Drosophila melanogaster: one gene and its partners. The gene in region 1 interacts genetically with each later gene. Each region holds a gene or a part of one and is shown in the gene's direction. Other genes may lie near its edges. The genes, in order: Zip89B, foi, ZnT63C and Zip71B.

Region 1 (5,305 bases):
GTATGTGGAAATATATATTTTAAACAAATTTTTTATACTTATTACAAATATACATATAACGAGGAAAACCAATATAGCATTAACTATACAAGGACAATGCAAATTTTTCGTGTTGTTTTGCAGTCTTTTAAGTATATAAAAGCAGGAAAAACATTGAAAACCAGTAAATCAAATTTCATAATTTACATGAATAACATTGCATAAACAATTAACCAAAATTTCCTGTATAGTTAAAAAACTCATTTGTATTATATATGAAATATTAAAGATACACAAACAAATTACGCTAAAATTAATATTTCTATGACGAAAATGGAATCCGGAGAACAAGAAAACCGCACTAGTTTATATAAAGTAAATTATAAAAAATATACATACATAATTGACTTTAAATGTTGAAAAACAAAACCAAAACCAAATGAAAAATAACCCATGCATTGATTAATGTATTCAAGAACGGAAATTTACATATTTACGACTCAAAAAGGACAGAGTGCGGAGCAGATCAAAGATAACAAAAAGCGTTTAATGGTTGGCAAGCAAGCAGTGCACGCAGGCCTTTTGCTATTTGCAGGTATAGCAGTTAACATTGTTAACTGCGGCAAAGCAGTTTTAACACTAAAGTAAAGCGAAACAATTTAATTATAATAGAGCTAAATAATAATAAAAAGAAAGCGAGCGAAGACGTACTCAGAAATATTTTCCAACAGGAATGTTGTAGGCATTATATCGTTTGCGAACGCGAATAAAGTAAAATAACAACAGAATTATTGTGTAAAAATGGTTTATTATTAATGTATAAGTATAACAGCAAACACAAATGGTAACTTAAAACAATGTAAGCAAACCAAGAAAAACAACCAACAAAAAAACGAAAAAAATATGAAAATTGAAAAAAACCAAGAAAAAATTAAAACCAAAATAAATGAAAAATTATTACAAAAAGCTTGTGTTTTTTTGGCCATATATGGAGCTGCTTTAGTAAATTGATACATTTTTTTGTTCAGCAAGTTACGATAAATAATAAGCTGTGCAACAAAAAAACAAAAGAATTAGACCAATTACGGTGGGCTTGATTATACTAATTAATAGATCATGGGTCTCTAACAGATATCTCACGATCTGTCCACGCTCCCATCTGGTTTTACCGACTCATTTCCCAAACACGACTAAATTGGTGTTTTGGAGGTATCCTTTGTTTCCGTTGTAACCGTTACACTTGATTTTAATTTCACAAATACCTATGTTACTATCTACAATACATCTTAATACAGTTGATACAAATGCTATTTTCAGTGCCCCGTTTACTCAAGTTGGAAAAAACTCTTTCTGCTATAGAGGTGGCAACCCTAAATAAGGCTTACATTGCAAACCGTTAGTTACATATGCTACCTACCAATTAGCCAGGACGCAAACCCAGACCGCAAAGCAGAGCTTTTGCTTCCGGCCATCTAAATAGCGCCAAAGTAAAAGTCGCGATCCTACATCTTGGCTAAGGTCAGGCGCCTTTTAATGCTGCCCAAAGTGAACGGATGCAATTACTCAATTACTCTGGCCTTTGTGCATTGTCTGTAGATGCCAATATGTGTATGTGTGTATATATATATTTATGCTGAGCCCAAGACAATTAGCGCTATTGCCAAATGAAACAGCGGCGCACAGGTGAACGTTCGCGAGTGGGAGAGCGAGCTTTAAAAGCAGTTTTCTTGCTACTTACCTGCTTAACTTGCTGCTCATGTCTGGTCTTCGTTAGTGGGAGAATCGGAAAGAGCGTTGAAGCATTGGAGCACGGGAGCGTAGAGCCCGCGCAAGATATTCAAGTGAATTACCAAATCCCGATTCCGTCAGTCTGCGAGGTCGCCTCAAGCGCTCAACACCTGTGCGCATCTAGAAAAAAAACAGAAACCTACCTAAATACCAATCCAACCCAATCAGTACTACCAATAAGGACAGGCTCTTAAATCAAACGAAGTGAAAGAAAAGTGACTGAAAAAGTGAAAAGCGGCATGCAAGTGCAGAAACCCAGCCCAACCAGATGAGCCCAACCCACAACCCAGTCGATTGAGATTCCAAACGCGACACATGCTGCTGGTGCTGGAATAACAGTTTTAGCCAAGAGAGCTGCTTGTTTTCGACCACAAGTGGTCAGAGAGGAGAGCCGGAGCCCGCAGTCTTTTAGCTGGTTCGGGAGATCTGTGGAAAACCAAACAAACCAAGTAAAATCGAAACAAAACAAACAGAAAACAAAAGCAACATGAATCAAACGCAAGTAAATAATTTCCTCAAGTGCTTCCTGCAAATCGATGAGCCGTCCAACCGTTGGACATCACGTCACGACGGGGAGGATCTCGATGATAACGACCATGATCATGATCATGACGACGACAACGACGACGACGAGAGTGGCGTTCTGGTTGCCAAGGTCACAGCCATGGTGGTGCTATTTTGCGCCAGCGCGATCTGCGGGTCCATTCCCTTCTTGCTTAACCGTTGCTATCGCTGGACGGAAAACCAGACGAACGCACGATCCGCCATTGTGGTCAAATGCCTGCTGTACTTTGGAGGCGGCGTCCTGCTAGCCACCACCTTTCTCCATCTCTTGCCCGAAGTTCAGGAGGTCGTCGAAGAGCTGCAGGAGTGCGGCATCATCGGAGAGCTCACTTTTCCGCTGGCCGAGCTTCTCATGTGCTGTGGCTTCTTCCTCATGTACTTCATCGAGGAGGCCATGCACACGTATGTCCATCATCATCAGAAGGATGAGGCTGGCGCCGCTTTCGAGCGGGGTCACAGCATCCGAAACAGCCACCTGCTGAAACCCACCGAAGGCAACGCTACCACACCCACAGCCCCACCGGCGCCATTGGCTGGCACCGCTGAACTTGGAACACTATCGGTGCAGAATCTCCTGCAAAACGATCTGGAGCAGCAAAAGTTTGCTACCAAGCCACAGCAACAAGCTAATGGACACGGACACAGCCACGGGCATGGACATGGACATAGCCATCTACCAGTAATCGCAGACGATGCCGATGCGGGGGACATGTTGGCTTCATCTCTGCGCGGACTCTTCATCGTTTCCGCTCTGTCGCTGCACGAACTCTTTGAGGGCATGGCCATTGGCCTAGAGAGCTCCGCCAGTTCGGTGTGGTTTATGTTCGGTGCCGTTTCCGCACACAAATTGGTCCTGGCCTTCTGCGTGGGCGTCGAGCTGATCGTGGCCAGGACCCGGATGTTACTGGCCGTTCTCTATGTGTTGACCTTTGCGGTGGTTAGCCCTCTGGGCATCGGAATCGGGATTTTGATAAATCACGGCGAAGAGACATCCGGACCCAGTCTGGTCTCCGCCATTCTGCAAGGATTCGCCTGCGGCACGCTCATATACGTGGTGTTCTTTGAGATACTCTCGAAAAATCGATCCGGTCTGCGCGCCTATTTGGCCCTCTTCGTCGGCTTCCTTGTCATGTTTGGCCTGCAGCAGTTGAGTAAGTATCACATTTAAATAATAATTACATGTTGTGGCCTTTGAATATGCAAATCGTAGGGATTTAGTGAGACAGAAATTTGCGATGTAAAATACAACTCGGTCTTGCCACTTAAGGCAGTTTTCAATTAATTATATATTGCTTTTTATTACGCAAATTTACATCAAATGATGATTAGTGTACATTTTGCTACTTAACCAGAAATATTGTTTTGTTAGTTTACTTACATTGATATCTATGAATTGCCTAGACACATTAGACCTTAGGGACTCCTGCTTTAATCATTTATCCTTTAATTGGTGATACTTAATAATAAGCAGGCTTAACGGTGATTAGTACGATCGTCGCCGTGTGCGTCAGATGAGATTCTTTAACCGGAATCGATTCGGGGAAATTGGGAACAGGTTCTATATAGCTGATCTGCTAAATGCTGCGTGGTTGACCTTGTAACAGACCTTGCTGTGATTTATTTTGCATACTCATATACAAGACGGCTTGTCAGTCTGTGTACCTAGAGTAAATGTGAAATAAAAATCCCGTCCCTGCCATGAAGTCATCTCGCAAAAATCAGGGGGTTGCCCATGCGAAAAAGCACCGTGAAAACCGCACTCGCAATTGTATTGATGAGCACGGGATAAAAAATCAGACGAGAAGTTTAGGCCACAAATATGTGATTACCCGAAAGTCGGTTAGGTTTTTATATGGTCTAGGGCCAGATAAGGCAGGACAAAACGCTCATAAATCATTGCGTGGAAGTGGGCTGTTGGAATTGAATTCCCATGCTACCATGACGAAAAAAATGTTAAGCAATCAAGAGAGAAGTGTGTAAATCACCATGAGGAAACAGGGTCTACCCGATAAGGATTGGCATTCCTAACAGCATACATTGTTCAACCCTATAACGTGTCACTAACCTTCCTTATCGCTTACAGCTTCCATTGGCGGACATGGTCATAGCCACAGCCACAGCAGTTGCTCCACGTCGGAACACACACACAACCACCAAGAGACTGAGACTGAGACCAGGTCAGCATCGGGCCACACCCATGGCCACCAGCACGACCATGATCATCCACATCACCACAACCACGCTGAGGAGCTGGCCACGGTTCACAACTATGAACAGCAGCTGCAGCTCTTGCGGCAGGTGACCCAAAAACTGCTTGAAGCCCACCCCAAGAAGGACGCCTAGATTGTACCCTGCTCAGCAGAATACTAATTGTATATGTATTTATGTGTATTATATATTTGTACTGTGTAAAAAATAGTGAAAGTAGAAACAAAATATATATTAAAAAACTGAAGCGATTAAATTCTGACATTAAATGCAATTGCTAAACTGGGTCAAAAAATAGTAAACGCTAAGAGAACTAGAACTCTTATCTATGCCCAGTATTTGTGGCCTTTACAGTCTTTTATGAGGTTACAGCCATTTATGACTTCTACAAAACATAAATTTAGAGAAACAAATAATTTATTTTTGTGAACTTATAGTTAAACACAGAAAAAGCAACAAGGAAAGTACATAAAATATTACAACATTCCCTAATGTTCAGGGAGCTTTTAAAATTTTTCTTCTTAAACAATAAAAACAATTAGTGATTCGACATTAGGTTTCATATTAACTGAAAATCAAATTTGCCCATATTCAGTGGTTAGCGGTTACGTACATATAACAAAGTGAAGATACTCGTTTTTAAGTGAATAGATCGGACATATCAGATTGAAAAAGTCATTAGCAAATCCGAATCGATTGATTAATGAAATATGTCAATAAAGCTAAGGTATGTTTAATTTCAAAATTTGGCTTAATAGTAACTTAA
Region 2 (5,026 bases), on another chromosome or scaffold:
AAGGGTGATTTGTGACGTCAGCAGAAAGTTTTCCATTATGCTTTGGCTAAAATTAAAGCTCTATCTCTGCGTAATTTACGCCTCTCAAAGTGGGGTCTAGATAAAACTATGAAATCAATTGCCAACTTTTGCAGCGTCACTATCCCGATGACCTTGAAGTGCCCCCAACTCACCCCTCTTGAAGTGCTTTTGCGGCAGGGCCATTTTGTTAACAATTTTAAAATAATTCCCAAGACGTGAAATGTTGGTGGCAAAGTAGTTCCGATCGACTGACAACAAATAGAGGGATTCCGGTACCTTATAAAGTGGTCGCAGTCGCCGGACGAGTGAATTTATCGAATATATTTCGATTGTTGAGCGGGTGAATTTAAAATTCTTAAGCTCATATTTAAGAAAATTGTTTGACCACATATTAAAGACTACAAACGACTACTCTAAGATAAGTATTTTCATATCCATTTATCATTCATACCTTCATTAATCTAATTCTAAAACAAACGTACTTACAACCCGTATAAACAATGAAAATGCAAAGATTTATTTTTCAATCACAATAATGCTGCCGTAGTAGGTACATGTGTTACATGTTATATGTGCAAAAGGTACAATGCTGAAGTGGAAACGCCATCATCCCGTAGACTACCCCAATTTGACACGTTTGGCCTCATTGCTAGAAACGAGAAATGGATCAGTCACACATTATATGTATAATCTTCAAATCTTACTATAGCATATTATAATCGGCCTGGCCCGATCGCCGGGAGTTCATGTATTTGGCATGGGTCTGTCCATCCAGATAGAAACACTTGACAGCACGATCCTGGATCATCAAGTCGCGCCACTTAATCTGCAGTAGAACAATCTCGGTAATTTAAAAGACATAATTAGAAAACCAATAGGACCCACCAAAGTGGGAAAACGTTCCGGACTCAATTCGAATTTTTGTTCAAAAGTGTATTTCAGAGAGTCAAAGCGCTCGCACCAGGGCCACATCATGTAGTCAAGCATGCCTGGGCTGTCGCCACCAAAGAACTTGGTACAACGTCGCTTCAGTTCCTCCTCATAAACGACCAATCCGGCATAGTGATCGGTGTCAACCAGCTGCTCGGGATTGTCGTGCAGCAACAGGTAGTAGAAGGCATTGATGAACTGTCCGAAACGTTCGATTAAAATCTTCTCCTGGGCTTTTTTAAGCAGATCCTTGGGATACAATGGCACCTCCGGATACTTTTCGTCCAAGTAGTCACAAATAATGAGCGACTCGATCAGCACAGGATTTCCCTGTTCCTTGACCAGCTCCAGTGCCGGCACCTTTGTGGAGCTGCTCACCAGGGAGAACCACTCGGGTTTGTCGCGAAGATTGATGTAGATAGCGTGGTAGGGAATCTTTTTGGCATCCAGGACCAGGTGCACACGGTGTGCATAGGGGCAAAAGCGCATCGAATACAGCTTTAAGATCCCATCATCCGGAAATACGGGCTTTGGCGAGCCTGCAATATATATGCGCCTTTTAAATGTGAATTTGGAACTTAGTAACTTATACTAACCAATAGTTAAGTGCTGAGTATTGCTCATATTGGCAATACAATTTTTTCTGGAAAGGAACACAACCTGTTTTGCGGGTTATGACAATTATCGATATTTGACAGTAAACGTTAAGGTGGCTCGATAACGTATTGTCTTTTTACAGGATTGATGTATTTTTAATCAATTATTATTTAATCGGTTTAAAAAAATCTATCTTAATCTTAAATATTAATTTTTACAACTTTAATTTTTTTAAATATAATTCAGTCATCTATTCATCTATTATTTAGGACTTTAATTTCAATAATTTATGGTTATATATCCATAATAGACTATTTGCATCACTGCTCCAAATACATATTGTATATACATAATTAATCTAAAATCAATTTATATTTATCGTTTTTAATATTTGCTGCAAGAGGTTACATTGATCGCCATCGATGTGTAGCGTTGATAGCAACGGAACACCGATACCTATCGCGGATGATTCGGTGTTTTTCCACATCCCTACCGCCTATCGATAATTGTTATAACAAAATTGTTTTAGTTGCGGATTTCTTGTGTTTGGCGGTGTGAGCGAAAGAGAGATGGCTGCTGCGGCATATGTTTAGCGTGTCCGGAAAATGTTTACAGTAAGCTCGCCCTTGCGTAACTGAGCCCGTGTTGGTGTTGGTGGCCGCATCCCGTACTCCGTATCCCGTGCAAATCTCGCCGCTCCATGCGGACTCGCTTCGATTCGATTTCCCGTGCCAAACCGAGATTATTGCAACGTAATTGACACTCGGCGTAATCTCTACGGCCTCTTTCATTCACGCCCACCGCATCGGCAAAAGCTATAGCTCCCAGAATCGTCCAGCATTATCTTCGATCCCGCAATAACTCTAGTGGGAATTGTGTGAGTGTGTGTTACAGTGTGCGATGTGCTAAACAGTCCGGCAAATTTACGGGTGAGTTAGTAGTGGGCTTGCATTAATTATTCGCCTTTGTTTAATCTTGGCATAAGTTCGTTCAGAATGGAAAGTGCATGCGACGCGCCCCCATTCCACCTCCCACCGCCCAAAATCCACCCACCACCACCCACTCGTATTTATTTATAGCGGGACATTTCCATGTGCGTGTGATTTTGACACCCGCTCACTTACATCCATATGTATTTGTTGTACACACACATACGCAGATGCACACGTAACTACACTGATATTCAGCACGTTTTTATGCTATTTTCGATCGACATCATCAATGTGTTCTATACATAATTCAGCGCAATTCTGATACCATTTCCATGCTCGCTATCTTCAGAGCCTAATTACGCAAAATCAATGGAATTAGTGTTATCAAACGGGCCAGAATGCTTATCATCCACTGGCGGGGCTAGATAAGATTTCAAGGGGGAAGACAACGTGGATGAGTCTTCACATCGCGTATGCTTTATCTCTAGCATTCTCTCTATTTAAATCAATAGACTTATCCAAACGATCATAGTTACAATTACAATCCACGTGTTCGACGTACACAGCTTACATTTTGCGTAAATAAATACTCTTATCACCTTACACATAACGTCATTAGATTTTATATTTGTATTGCGCATTGAGGGATATGAAATATTTAAGTTGTATTCCGGATGCGTAACCCCCTTTGGAAGCCGTCACTGTTATCGCCACTGACCCATATATCAACATGTGTTCCTTTCGCACTTTTGGCTGCCTTCCACATAGTTCTGTTGTTTTTGTCTTTTTTTTTTTAGAAGTGTAGGTGGTGCATGAATCATAGATAGTGGTGCCGGTGGTGGCCAAAAGGGAAGCATCCTTATCGGGCGCGAACTTTTCCATTTCTCCGCCAAACGCCCGCCGCCAATCAATTATTCATGAGCCAGCGTAATTTGCAAAAATTGATATGTATATTTGCAAATAAAAAAAAATGCAATATCAGCTATGAATGCCTTGCAACCAGGCGCCAACAACTGAGGCAGCCAACCATTTCAGCAACCAACAACTCAATACGGAAAACAAACGTTTCTCGGCGATCCACGATCATTTCGATGCCCCCAGATGAATTATTTATCGCATATGGCCAGCCCTTCAACATCAGTTATGTGTCACTTGGTGGGTCGTACTAGCTGAATACTAAACCGGCCAGCCAGCCAGCGTACATAGTATGTAATTCAGCAGACGGCGAGCATGGCAAGGTCAGAGCCTCGTTCCGTACGGATTTGATCCAATCGGATTGGATCCGTAGCTGTCCATTCGGATTCCGAGACCGAGTCCGAATCTGAATCCGACGTGATTGACCTCAGCTTAGTCTAGTTGTGTGTACTTGGCTTCTACCCATCCAGAACTTCAGTTCCATGTGGCCATCACATGACGCGAGGTTTTTCATATCTTCCTAAACACACTGCTGAAATTTCACATCAAGCTTTGGCTTATGAAAAGGTAGAAACCAAAAAACAAAAAAAAAAAAAGATAATGCCCAAATTTGTGTGTGTATGTATGTGCTTGGATTCTTGGGTACACCTTTTCGCAGGTTATTTCGCTGAAGTTTCAGGTATGAATTTCGTGTTTGTGTTGCGGCCAAGATAAAAGATAAATTGCTCAGCAGGTAGAGAGACGATCTGGAGATGTAGATGTACGGTGGAAATTTCAGGCTAAACAAACTGTAGATTGTGCATAGTAGTTGTTCATAAATCTTGCGAGGAGTTCTACGAGTACGTTTCTAGATTTAATTTCGCAGTTTAAGGTTGTGACATGTATAAAACGAGATATTATGCAGTGTCAGGGGCCTAAAAACGTGGAGATACCATGTATGTACATATCATGTGAAATTTACTCATCAAGTTTTATCTATTGAACTTTGAGCGATCGCGTGTTCAATTTTAGGCTTTTTGTGCGGATGTCATGCGAAATTTGATTGTGCGATCGAAGCATAAAATGTGGAATGGGTTCCAGGAATTTTGAGTATATGAAATTGAGATTTAATGTGAAATTTCATGATGTTGACTCATCGAAAAGTAATCAGAACGTTTTGGAATTTCACAATTTGCGAAATGAGACCCACCCTTATCCTGAAATTTCAGCATGGAGATCTTTTGCGATGCCAAACGAATTTATGTGGAGGTTCTATGTATATGAAATTCATTTATGCTGACTCAGCTGCATAAGCTTTCCGCATCTAAAAAGGGTTACTCTGCGGAAATTTAATCCGTATGGGACAGCACTATTCGTTGGAGATATCATGCGAAATTTTGGTGTACACATGGAATTCAGAGAGCAGCGAGTTCAGTGACTTGCCGACTATACAATTACCACGAGAATTCGGAAAAAACAGACGCGTGCGATTTTCGATATGGAGATGTTATGCGAACTAAAGTCGATTCAGCAAATCTAATCGTACGTTTTTGGTACAGTAGCCTCTCGATATGTACGATTTTAAAGTGCAATTTTAAACAATAAAAACAAAGCAGTTTTTCCTAAAGTTTATTTATTTATTTATATTGAAA
Region 3 (4,706 bases), on another chromosome or scaffold:
CTTTTTGTTCTACTTTGACTACCATTTTAATGCCAATGACCCAAGCGGATAACTAGTGACAATGGCCTGTGTTGTAGACACAAAACCCACGACTAATTGTGTGCTCATCTGATCTTTTGTTCTAACGCCATTTACAAGTTGCCTGATCCAGATTTTCAGGAAGATCACGTTCACAGCTATCGAATTTTGATATATTACCAAATTTGAAGCCCGCTGTTTTAGCCACATTACAACGTTTGCCACGCTAGTCCAATCTATGGCCATATAAATCTCAGCCTTACGCTCACCTTTGTACTCTCCTTATCGTTGTTTACTTTAGGGTTATTAACGAATTTTACATTTTAGAAGTTGTTCGAAAATGGCAATTTATTCTGTACGGCATACTATATACTATATGTGTTTTACATATTTTCTCCCCATACAATATGCCTACATATCATTGCCACTATCATTATGCCAACAACCATAACAATAACAATATCAGAGACAGGTTCGGTAGCACTCGCAGTCCAATTTAGATAATTTTCCACTGGACATTTCAGTTTAAGCGGTACGAAAGCCGGAAGCTGCTCATATGAGCATATCTCCTCTGTTCGTATAATAGATTTATCTTTTTTATCATAATTTGTTTACGGGCACTGCCGATGACTGTCATTTGTCGCACATATAGATTTGCGTATGTGGAGCTCGTACTAACTCCCTTCCATTCACAGTGACTAATTTACTAAATTTGGTTTCTTTTATTTACACTTTATTCACTTTATTTTCTCTTCAAGTTCCAATTGCCTGTTATCACGTAGGGAACATTTACCCATTCGCCTAATCTTATCACTCACTACTTCACGCACACGGGGAATTCAGCAAAGGTAAAATAGGTAAAAGTCTTATTGACTTTTTGACGAAAAATGGAAATAAGTCTTGAGTTAAACTAAATGCTGAAACGTGCTCAATATAATTCCGCTGATTTCTGAATTGATTATGGGGGTAGTCACTTTGGAATTACCGATTTTATGATGGCTTTGTTTCTTTGTACACCTGTTTCCTCGGCCGGTAAACGCGCTACTAACGAAATCCCCAATGATCGTGGTCAGTGATGCCGCTTTAGCCATGAATATTATCTTCAAAAAAGATTTTAAAGTTGGATGTTTCTACTAACAACTCACTTTTGCCCTGAAAATATATATATTCTTTTTTTTTGCCAAAATATTTTATTTTTTAGATAATTTCCTTATAAAGGCACGACATCACTAGTAAGTCATTTACCTTTCCCATCCAATACACAAACCAACTTTGAGCTTGAGTGCCATCGAGCTTTTTGTTGGTTAAAAGGGGTTAAACGCAGTTGTTGGTAGTTTTGCGTTAAACAAAGAGTTTAAGCTACATTATATTGAAATGTAACGCCTAAAAAAATAGATTTATTGTAAAGTAGCCCTTCACAAAAATATTTCGTATTAAAAGTGACAAAATGTATCAAAAGCCTGCCAGTTTTTTATTTCAATTACATTACTGGCTCCTATTTTGGTTTCTACTACATTTACTAGTTTTCAAACTTATTTTTGAAAGACCGCTTGTAACGGTCGATAGTCATTATTGTTAACCCGATAGAGCTGCACAAATATTATCGATATATTATTGGTATTTTCCAACTGCCCGGATGGATTTTCGATGACTGTGGCTGCAGTCACACTGAGTCGGGAAAATAATTATTTATTAAAAATTCGTGGACCCGCGCTGTACATCTGTGTCTGTGCTGTTCGCTCCGCTCCAAGTGCGGCAAAAAGCAACCAAGAAGGCAGGCAGCCCAATCGGTAATTTACGGCGGAGTAGTGAGGCGATATACGGAAATCGCGACCAGTGCACGTGCAATTGTGAATCGTTCTCGATTTTCCCGACCCGCACCCTTTCTTCTCTTTCGACCATTGTGACTGTGCACAATTAACTTGCATACATACGTGTATGTATGTACACACTCTGTTTGTATGTATGCGTGCCACCCCCAATTGAGGCGGAAAAAGGAGAAGCAAAGGAATTTCTGCAAAATCCAAGATGCCCATGCTATTTTCACTATTTTATTTTGCCAACTTTTCAGTCGACACTTTGCTCTTGCAGCAACAAAGCCAACAACGGCGAAAATTGGAAGTTATTTTCTTTTCTTTCTCCACTCTTTTTATCGCAAAACAACAGCAACACTGCCCGTGCACCGCTCTCCCCGCTCCCACTTGCGTCCTTGTTAATACAGTGAATATCGGCTAGCCACAAACAGGGGAAATACAAAGAATCTTAATTTGCATTTGTATGGTTGATAAAAAGTCAACTTATCAACTTATCTAAATCGTCAAACCAAAGTGACTTATACATTTGTAAACATTTTTAAGCGTTTTCCCTGTTTTAATTGCGAAAATAGTAAAGATATCGTGTTTTATTTTTATCAACAGTGCAGCGAAAGTTTTATAAAGTATACATATATTCAGTCAAATAATTATTAAAGTCCTATACTCTCCGTATACACTGGATTTGGTTTTTTATTAATTTTCAATTATGTGTATTTTGAATTTAGCCTCTTCAATTGGAGCTTAGGAACCTTAACAACCAAAGAACCGATTTCCAGACTTAAAGCTAAGGTAAGTTAAATACACCTATTATTCTTAGCCTCATTATCAATTTTTAATGAAACTTCAAAAAATAGATTGTAAGAGTGTTATATCTCTTTTCTTAGTTAAACATAATCTCGGAAATGATATCCATTATCTTACGTAGGGGATTTGCCTGCAGGAGACCTGCATCAGCATGTCTGTTATTGTTGCACGTGGGTCACCGAACTGGGCGGGTGTGGGCGTGGTCAGGTAGTAGCTGAGCATATCTGCATTTCAACAATCGATCTTAATCTGCGCTTGCTTTTGAGTTCCTTTCGTCTAGGACTTGTTATACTTGATTTATGGCCCCTTCCCGCGATTTCCCATCCTCGAAAACCGGTTGTTTTGACTTAATCATCGGTTCTCGCTGGTTATTTGATATGAAATTCTTTCTGACTCACAGCAGTTGTTTAAATTCTGGCGTGGAAATCCCGATCTTTTTCCTTATCAAGCCAAATAAATATGAAGGCTAATTTGCTATGTTTGAATTATTTTATTTAAATTACTTTTGAAAAACAAATAGGCAGTACAGCTATTAAATAGCAGGTTTTTATTTGTTAAAGCGTAATATCTTTCAGATTTTATAGATTCTAAATCTTCCCATATAGGTTTATTTTTCCTCATTAAGTCTTGCAAATTATGTTCGATTTTCTTTCTGTATCGGTTCTGAGATATTGTATGTTGCAGCGATTTTCACTGTTGCATAAAACTCTTGTATTCCGGGCCTAATTAAATCACTTTAAATGCCTGCTCGGTGTGGCTGAAATAATTCGATTTAAAGGTCAGGCACTCACCCAAGTGACTTTCCAACTCTTTTTGTTCTCGGCTCCCAGTCAGTCATCAGCGAAAATTGAGTGAGATCGAGGAGGAGGGGAAAATCAATATGTGCTAATATAATTTTGTGGCAAACAAATTAAAGCACACAGAACAGCTCGTCGTCGCTGCTCTGATTTGTTTAGCTATACGAATATGTACCATATTTATTCAGTTGATTTGGTTCAGTTTCAGTGGTGAATATTTGAGCAGCAGCATTTAATATTTGATACTGGCCAATTTGATTTGTGGGTAAGCACATTGACTACCGCCCAAAACTGAAATGCAGCCGAAAATGGGGCCAAAAGTGGGTTATGTTTGCTCCGACCACCATGCAAGCTGGCTTTGATTTACGACTGCAACTAAAGTAGGTTAACCTAGGTCCAGATAACTACTACATTCTGCTTCTCCAACGATACCATATTCTAATCTCAAAGTTGCCTGAGCTGCTGGCTTTCCAAGAGTAGAATCATGTACATGTGACCTTGACACGGTTTTCACTTGCTATGCAGGAAAAAGGGTTTCCCGCATCCACCGTACCGTATCCATTGAAATTTGATTTTGTTATTTGTTTATCGACGCCACTTCATGCAAATTGGAGAAATTCAGGTGGATATATTTTTAGCTGACACATCCATGCAATGTTTGCAAATGCATATATAGTATTCACCTTTCTGCCAGCCTGATGAAATTCTTTTGTATATTTTTCACTCTGTTCTCCGTTCTCGTGGAACTCAACCAGGTTGGACCACCCAACGCCCAGCTCCGTCTCTTACTTTGCCTTTCTCTGCGCCGCCCTTTTTCCAGAGCACCTCCGTCCGCCTTCCGTTCCCGGAGGTCGGGAAAAAGAACCGGGTTAATCGTCGCCACGTTGTCGCCGTGGAGAACAAATGACTCTTTTCGTTTGTGGGTCAACTGCAATTTTTGCCATTAATATAATTAATTGATTGCCATTTTGGTTTTAAATGTCGTAACTTTATGTGAGTGAAACGCACCTATTAAATGGGAATACTCACATAATAAAATTCAAAAGCGTTCACATCGCAAAATCTATAAGAATGCTAAAATTGTTTTCAGTGCTGCACTTCACACTTACGTAGCAAAAAGATTTACCCAATCTTAAAATTACTTTAATTCCTGCTTAATAAATCTTTCTACAAATTGCCGATCAATAAATCAACAGTGCGTCTAATTTGGCTTATCGAAATGCCCACTTTCGAGTACTTTGTACAACATTCTGTGCATAAGCGATCGATTTGC
Region 4 (7,842 bases), on another chromosome or scaffold:
ATATGATCACGAATATTGCATACTTTTCGGTTCTCTCGCCAGACGAGATCCTTTCGTCAGATGCAGTGGCAGTCACGTTTGGCGACAAGATGCTGGGGTATATGTCCTGGATTATGCCCTTCGCTGTGGCCTGCTCCACTTTTGGTTCGCTGAATGGAGCGATCTTCGCGTCCTCGCGACTTTTCTTCGTCGGTGCAAGGAATGGTCACCTGCCGGCCGCCATTTCGCTGATTAACGTTAATTGCCTGACACCTGTGCCCTCGCTGATATTCCTGGTAAGTTAGAGGCTTAACCTAAGTAAAGAATCTATAAATATTTGTTTTTATCAAATTATCATGTTCTTTTCTTTTTTTAATTTCCCAGGGCGTGCTCACCTTGCTGCTGCTGTTCATCGAGGACGTCTACGTACTAATCAACTACGTCAGCTACGTGGAGGCGTTGTTCACGCTGATCTCGGTATCCGGACTGCTGTGGATGCGCTACAAGCAACCCAAGACGGAGCGACCCATCAAGGTCAACTTGGCGCTGCCCATCATCTATCTGATCGTCTGCCTGTTCCTGGTCATCTTCTCTTGCACGCAGACGCCATATGTGGTAGGAATCGGGACGATCATTATACTGTCTGGAATTCCGGTCTACTACCTGACCATCCACAAACCGGTCAAATGGCTGGCGGACACTTCGCAGGCGATCAACCTGTGGTGCTCCAAATTCTTCATCTGTATGCCCAACCAGGAGAAGTTCGACTAGGACTGCAGGACTCTACGACTTTGGGAAGAGAGGGCCTTTTGTGGATGTATCGATCAACGCAACTATAGAAGGGAATATCTTGTAGTTAGGATAAGTCTCAATTTACCCCTAAGATAGGTTAGCAACGCGAAATTTTGAAAACCTACGCACAACATTACAAAAGTGTTATTGTAAATAACTCAAATGCATTCTGGTAGGGAAGTCCCTGCTTCAATTAATATTATTTGTTAGTCGTACTTTTAATGTATATTTCAAACCCAAAAAAAATGAGTTCCTCGTCGAAAGCAGAAGTACGCCTGTTATACAAAATGCGAACCAATTTTTACATATTATACAAGTAATTAGGAGCTTATTCAGTAAGTAATAATTATTATTGATGCAACTTTTTGCGAAATGTAAAAAATCGAATTTGTTTTGTATAAGAAAGTTAATAATAAACACATTAAACTTTAATCTTATTACTTTTTGTGAAGTGGGCGGAAATTGGCATTTTAAAGGTAAAAAAGTAACTTATATCATTTCGCATGGTATCTATTTAAAGTATCATAATTATCTACCACAATATTTATTAATTTTTTTAAATATTTTCATTTTCTAGTTATTTTTCCTACTCCAGCGAGTTCTAAAACTCACTACTTGATGAAAGCGCCTTTACAACGCCTTTAGGTATGCAATCTTTTTCTTCATAGTTACAATCTACCGGATAGTTTTTAGTATAAAGTATTGTTGCTTAATAATAACATTTAGCCAGATTCTTAAGATTATGAAAGGAAAGTGTAAAACTTTAGTATTTTCAATTTAAAGGCTGAGTACACTATTTAATGTGAGTTTAGCCGATGAACAGGTTAATCGACTTTATTAATTTTTGGCGCTCAAATTTGATGGTCCGGCGAAAGCTTTTCCAAAGCTCAATCCAAATGACAGTTAAGTTTGTAGCGAGTGCGCAGAGCGATGAGTTGCCCGCCCAGTGGGCGAAGGAGAGAGGGAGAAAGGAGAACGCGCCGACGCTCGTCGAACCGAAAGTCGTATAAAACGTTGCGTGGGCGAAACTGTCATTTCAAAAGACCGTTGAACGGGATCGGTAGTTGGCTGCAGTGTTACGGATCGCACGCGTCTGTAAAAACTCGAAAAAATCCCGGTGAAGCCCCCAGTGAAATGACGAGTGACCAGTAGATAACCGGGTTCAATAAAACGAATAGAATAAAACGAAAAGAGAAATACTATCTACCACCACCTGAGTGTTCAGTCCATTACGATGGCCCAAAAGCAGGTGCTAGTCTTAAACCTATTTTGCCTGGGCTCACTATTTTTCAAAACAGTGCCAGCTTCCACGGAATACAACAAATACGTGGCGCAGATATTTCAAAAATACGGCAACGGCGGGACAATCAACTTTGAGGTAATAACCAATAAACCATCGAACTAGCCTTGTAAACACACACAAGAGCGTAATTTGAGCACAGGTAAACACAGGTAAACAAAGTCGGACACGGGACAAAGCTTTTGCGGTTAGCGTTATGGCAAAAAATTAGTGAGTTTGTGTCTTCTTTTTTTTCTCTCGTTTTTGTCATTTTTGGGCCAGCAACAAAAACAATGTGTGGGAGGGGGGGGGGTGTTCTCATATGATTACGAGTTAATCAAATATTTGGGCATTGTGAAAGTGAAACAATTGTGTTCTGGCCAACTCGGCTTGATCGGGCAACCAAAACACTCTCAACAGCGATTATCGCGTCACTTTTAAAAGGTTGTAATCTTTATATGCGCGCAGCAATTTTATAACACAGTGGGCAGACAGCAGGCACTTCGTATGATACAAAACGTAGACTTTATTGCTGGCATTATCATAAATTTAATCAAAATCCAGACTAACGAGCAGCACAGGCACAGTGAGATGTACAGTACGAGACTTGAGCATCAACACGACGAACAACACCCACCCCCCGCCCAAGACATCCTTCTATATCCACGTCGGAGATTACGAGATGATAAGCCCGATAAGACTGCTTGCTCCTCCTCCTAATGGGCGCACACTGGATGCCCGATAAACCAAAGATACAAAAGCAACCGCAACTTTCGCAACGCGATCGTTATGCTTATGGACTCCAAAGCTATAGTCCGTCCGATTCCGAACAATCGGAGCCAATTGACATTACTCATGCGTATGGGCTACGCAATACGGTGTGTCCATTTGAATGGCAAGCCGCTACTAAAAATGTTTTTACTTTTTACGCACTCGGCATACTAACATTAAGGGTTGGATGCCCGATGCCCCATGTCTCATGTCCCATGCCCACCCAACCGTCTCGTATTCTATCATCATTCTAATATTCCAAATTTGATTACATATAGCACACTTGGCACACAAACAAATCTCAGCTGAATGAAAGTAAAATTCGCCATTTGGTGGCTTCATGAGCTACATAATAAATAGTTTTTTTTTTTTGTGTGTGCCAGCGCGTGTGTGTCTAATGTTTGTTCATATGCAAATTCCGCCATCCTGATCTTGGGAATCTGGGCAATTCTTTGGAGCCACTCATCACACGCCGGACACACGCCCCGATCCCCGGCGACAGGTCGCTGTCGAGGCAATTAGATGGGGCTCCACCGCCGCCCCGGGGAATCTCCACCCACTTTAGCGACAGCAAATATGCGACAGAATGGAGGAATAACAATAAACAAATGAATTCAGATGTAAATATAATTGCCTGGCACGTTGACAAGTAAATCAAGTAATTATCGGTGATAGATCGCAGCCAGAGTATATACTTTGACAAATTAGTTAAATAAATAGCAAATGCGATCGATTTGTCGGCGTGAAATTTCGTGGATAGCTACTGTGAAAAATGTGCAGCAGGTTAAGGTTTGTTTTTAAAAACGATTTCAGGACGCTCACCGAAAACAAAACAGCTGGCAGTTGTTTTGTTGCGTTTACTCCAGCTACTTCGAGATTAATTGTTGTTTTTAAATGGGTTTTAAAACTTCAAGGTTGCACTTACTGTTTAAATAGTTTAGGGAAATCACAACTATCTAAAACTATTGAATTATCAAACTTTCTGAGAATTTGTGCATAGATATTTGTAAGTCTATTTATCATTGCCAATGTTATTTTAATACCTATTATCAAATACTTAATTATCGTTAAAAGAAAATAGTTTGTCTACAATTATTGAAGCATAATGCTATCTGTCCTTATCATTAGATAGTTTACTTATATTTTGCGCCTTGCAATAACGTGTGCCTTAATCACACTTGTTTTACTTTGGTTTTGTATCTTGGAAAACTTCCAGATAACGTCTAAGTGCTCTCTAAATATGCTGTAATGCTGCTTTAAATGCCTATTAAATGAGGAACTAAAATATTTTCCAGGGTCTTGAGCATTTGATGTTCAGCCTGAACTTGGGTCAAATCCAATTCGATCCCTCGCACACGATCGATCAGCATCGACCTCAGGGATACTCGAACGAGATGCCGCATGCCACAAATGTAACGTATTACTTTGAGCCGACACGAGTCAATGCCACCGATGAGGAAGCTTTGGAGCTGCAAATCTCTCCTCGTGGCAATCACTCAAATTCACAGTCGGAGGCCGAGGTTCCGGAGTTCCTAGAAATTCATGACCCCAAGCACCGACATCCGAGGGAGAGTTCTGGTGAGTGGCGTCGTTTAATATTTAATGAAGATGTGCACCAGTCTTATCTTAATGGTCGGGGATTTCGCACTTTATTTCCAACCGTATTACTGTATGTATTTGCCGACCATCAGCTATGACTGATAATACCTAAGCTACGCCAGGATAGACAACATGGTCATAAATCTTAGGATAATTTGTTTTAACACTTATTCCGGTTCTCCAGAATCCACCAGGTCTGAGAAATTCCAAAAAATACGCGGATTGAAGCTCACTTGACTGGCAGTTAATAACAAGCATATATACATGATAAAACACCAGCCACCTGTGGCACAATACAAAATTGAGCCCGGCAGAAGTATAGTATATATATATAGTATAAATAGATGAAGCCCTCGACTTGACTCGACTCTTTCCATCAATTGGCCGATTTCCAAGTGCAAGGCGACCGGCGACTGCGGTCTATCATCAATTCAATTATGCCATCCCATCCTCCATCCCATCTCATTTGGTTGATAGGAAGTTCCGTCTGTGATCGTGGCCTTGTCGCATAAATTATCATTACCATGTATGTGCGTATATATACTTAGTATCAGATGCGTTTTTCTTTCTCCTTTTGGGCCGTAAATGTAGCCGTAAATCAACAGGTAGGAAAGATCATTGTCAGCAGGCGACGAAAACAGGGCGATAGCACGATAAACGGACGCATTATGGATGCGGAAATCCAAAAGAAAACAACAATTGAACGGATTCAGATACAGATACAGATACAAAACGAGAAACAAACAGGCCTCAATCGCTTCGCTTGTTATTTATTTTTGTTGGCTAAGCCTTACAGTTTTAATTGAAGTGCACACAATCATTACAACGTTGTCCCATATAAAGTTAACACTAAACAGCCGACTGGATTAATGGCAAGTTTGCACATGCGAATTGGATAACAATCGACTGCTGAGAGAGGGCAACGTGTCGGAGTCGAAGAAATACGTTTGCTATTTCCATAGAATGAGTGTAAACATGGGAAAAAGAAAATTCCCCATACCTAGCATTATAAACAAAGTGCTTAAAAGGTTTAAATTAGAACAAACAGTTGCTGCTCATAATGTGAACCCAGCCAGCGCTATATAGTAATGCATAACGTATAGATTAAATTGCAAACTGCAGAAATCACAAGTAATTCACATGCAACAAGAATTACTCAATGCAGTCCCAAGGTGCTTATTCCTTAGACTTTTACCTTAAACAGGAAATATTTTCTCTGGTTCTTAAAATTACATTACTTTTACACTTTTTATTTTCAGAACCTGTTGCCGCTTGCTTATCACCGAAGTCTTTACTTTCCCTCATCGTGAACCACAACGATCTCCACAAAAACATTGCCTACCGCAAGCTGCTCATTAAGAATGACGTTAGCTCAACTGATGGCGTCCACAATTCTGAAGAGGAATACAACGAATTCATCAACTCGGTGCGGATCACTCCGCGAGCTTTTATGAAACTCTGTCCAGCTCTATTAGCCCAGATCGATAATGGAGTTTGCAAGCAACCAGCTGTACGATCAGTAAACCTTAACGATAAGAACCAGAAGATATGGTACGGTAGGTATCTATAATTAACACTTTGTTATACAAGATAACTTACCTATATCGATTTAGCTTGGATCTATGCCAGCATCACTATGCTTATACTGTCCGCTTGCGGATTGCTGGGCATTCTTCTGGTTCCTTTGATGAAGTCGGCTGCCTATCAGGAAATTCTCAAGTTCCTAGTTTCCATCGCTGTGGGCACTTTAGCTGGCGATGCCCTGATGCACTTGCTCCCCCATGCCCTTTTCAAGGAGGAAAAGCACGAGGAGGAAGTCACTGGTATCAATCCCTTGGAATCTGATCACAAACATAGCAATGAGGCGGCTCTGCTATGTGGTTGTACTTTCCTGGCTGCTCTATTCATGTATATGCTGGAGAACCTGATTCCGCTGCTAAAGGGCGGTAAGCCGGGTCATGGACATAGCCACGGACATGGTCACAGCCACGGCCGCAGTCATGGACATATGGAGAAGCCAGCTGCAAAGGATGCTATTGATCTGCCACCTCCTCGAGAGCTCAATGTGATGTTGCAGGAGGCCAAGCTGGATGAGAAGACCCCCGATCGACCGCTCACCCCAGTAGCCTTCATGGTAATCATCGGAGATGGCTTGCACAATCTGACCGATGGTCTGGCCATAGGTGCAGCCTTCGCAAGTGATCCGGTCACTGGATTTGCTACCGCCTTTGCCGTTCTCTGCCATGAGTTGCCACACGAACTGGGCGACTTTGCTCTGTTGCTGCAAACAGGTGTCTCCATGCGAAGAGCCGTCTATATGAACATTGTTAGCTCAGTTCTTAGCTTTGTGGGCATGTCGGTGGGTCTCTTTATTGCTGGAATTGGAGACGGCATGACCCAATGGATTTATGCAGCCACCGCTGGTTCCTTCCTGTATATTGCTTTTGCCGATCTGGTGCCCACAATGAGTGTGGCCCACAATCCGGAAAAGGCCAAAGATCCAAAGGGTATAATAATACAAATTTTTGGTATCCTTCTGGGTGGACTGATAATGTTGGCTATTGCCCTCAATGAACACGATTTAGAGGGCCTGTTCAAGAGCTTTTAAAGAATAGCTCTGAGTCTCAAACAGCTTTGTTAATTTTGTTTTCTTATTGTAGATAGTAGTTTAAGAATATGTTTCTGTGGAATCTCTGATTCTCTTGCTTCTTTAAGCATGCCTTACTTGTTAGAGATGAAATCGTTACCAAATGTTAGTCTGTGGTCAGCTTTATGTATGATTTAAACAGCACCTTCCTTAGTGTTATTGAAACTTTAATATTAAAATATAAATGTTTTTAAAGAGACAATTAAAATAAAAGAACTGTGAGCAAAAAAGAGAAACCCTAGCATTGGCAATTAAAAGAATATAGAATCATTAAATCGTAAAATAAGACCAAAGTGTTCTTTTATATAAATTCTGCCTTACGAATGCTAAATCTATAAATAATAAGAGCTATCCAGAATTTCATTCCATAAGATAATTAGCTTGTAAGTTAAAATGGTAAAAGCAGAATTTTGTTTGCTCATATCCTTTTAAAGACGGATTTTCTTTGTTATAACAAATTAGGACGCTCTTTAATGATTTACTTTTTTAACACTTACAGTATAGTTTTAAATATTAAAGAACGTTTTAAGATAATTGCAGTTGTTGTTGTTCCTCAAATGGTTCATTGGGCAGTCGTGCGGGGCTCTAAAATGTGTTTTAAATTTGTGACACAGCTCTTTATCGAAAAACGTCGAGATATACTCACAGGTTTCTTAGAACGCTCCTCCAATACACCAAATGCAACATGATTCAGTTGGAAGCCAGACGGCAGTGCAACGCCCTGAATGCGATAGAAAGCACCAGAGGGACCCTCCTCCGCAACTTTGTGGGCAGC

What was found.
Region 2: of Zip89B (region 1) and foi, changing one enhances a phenotype caused by changing the other (phenotypic enhancement), as found in Drosophila melanogaster (one study listed by BioGRID).
Region 3: of Zip89B (region 1) and ZnT63C, changing one enhances a phenotype caused by changing the other (phenotypic enhancement), as found in Drosophila melanogaster (one study listed by BioGRID).
Region 4: of Zip89B (region 1) and Zip71B, changing one enhances a phenotype caused by changing the other (phenotypic enhancement), as found in Drosophila melanogaster (one study listed by BioGRID).

What each region holds. Positions count from the first base shown.
Region 1 is NT_033777.3:16,303,917-16,309,221, forward strand, and holds Zip89B (Zinc/iron regulated transporter-related protein 89B), read left to right. Parts: upstream 1-1,841; 5' UTR 1,842-2,254; coding exon 2,255-3,482; intron 3,483-4,414; coding exon 4,415-4,674; 3' UTR 4,675-4,784; downstream 4,785-5,305.
Region 2 is NT_037436.4:8,523,228-8,528,253, forward strand, and holds the start of foi (fear-of-intimacy), read left to right. Parts: upstream 1-2,016; 5' UTR 2,017-2,477; intron 2,478-5,026. Other genes in the region: GstO2 (glutathione S transferase O2), read right to left, coding at 174-204; GstO1 (glutathione S transferase O1), read right to left, coding at 640-670, 726-847, 907-1,490, 1,548-1,575. UniProt on the Drosophila melanogaster protein: Required for the normal migration of longitudinal and peripheral glial cells. During larval development, required for the migration of the subretinal glia into the eye disk.
Region 3 is NT_037436.4:3,302,045-3,306,750, forward strand, and holds the start of ZnT63C (zinc transporter 63C), read left to right. Parts: upstream 1-1,663; 5' UTR 1,664-1,808; exon of another isoform or gene 1,809-2,229; intron 2,230-2,557; 5' UTR 2,558-2,621; intron 2,622-4,706.
Region 4 is NT_037436.4:14,990,467-14,998,308, forward strand, and holds Zip71B (Zinc/iron regulated transporter-related protein 71B), read left to right. Parts: upstream 1-1,822; 5' UTR 1,823-2,005; coding exon 2,006-2,149; intron 2,150-4,116; coding exon 4,117-4,399; intron 4,400-5,679; coding exon 5,680-5,976; intron 5,977-6,033; coding exon 6,034-7,028; 3' UTR 7,029-7,517; downstream 7,518-7,842. Other genes in the region: mnd (minidiscs), read left to right, coding at 1-275, 364-750; mRpL39 (mitochondrial ribosomal protein L39), read right to left, coding at 7,593-7,652, 7,714-7,842.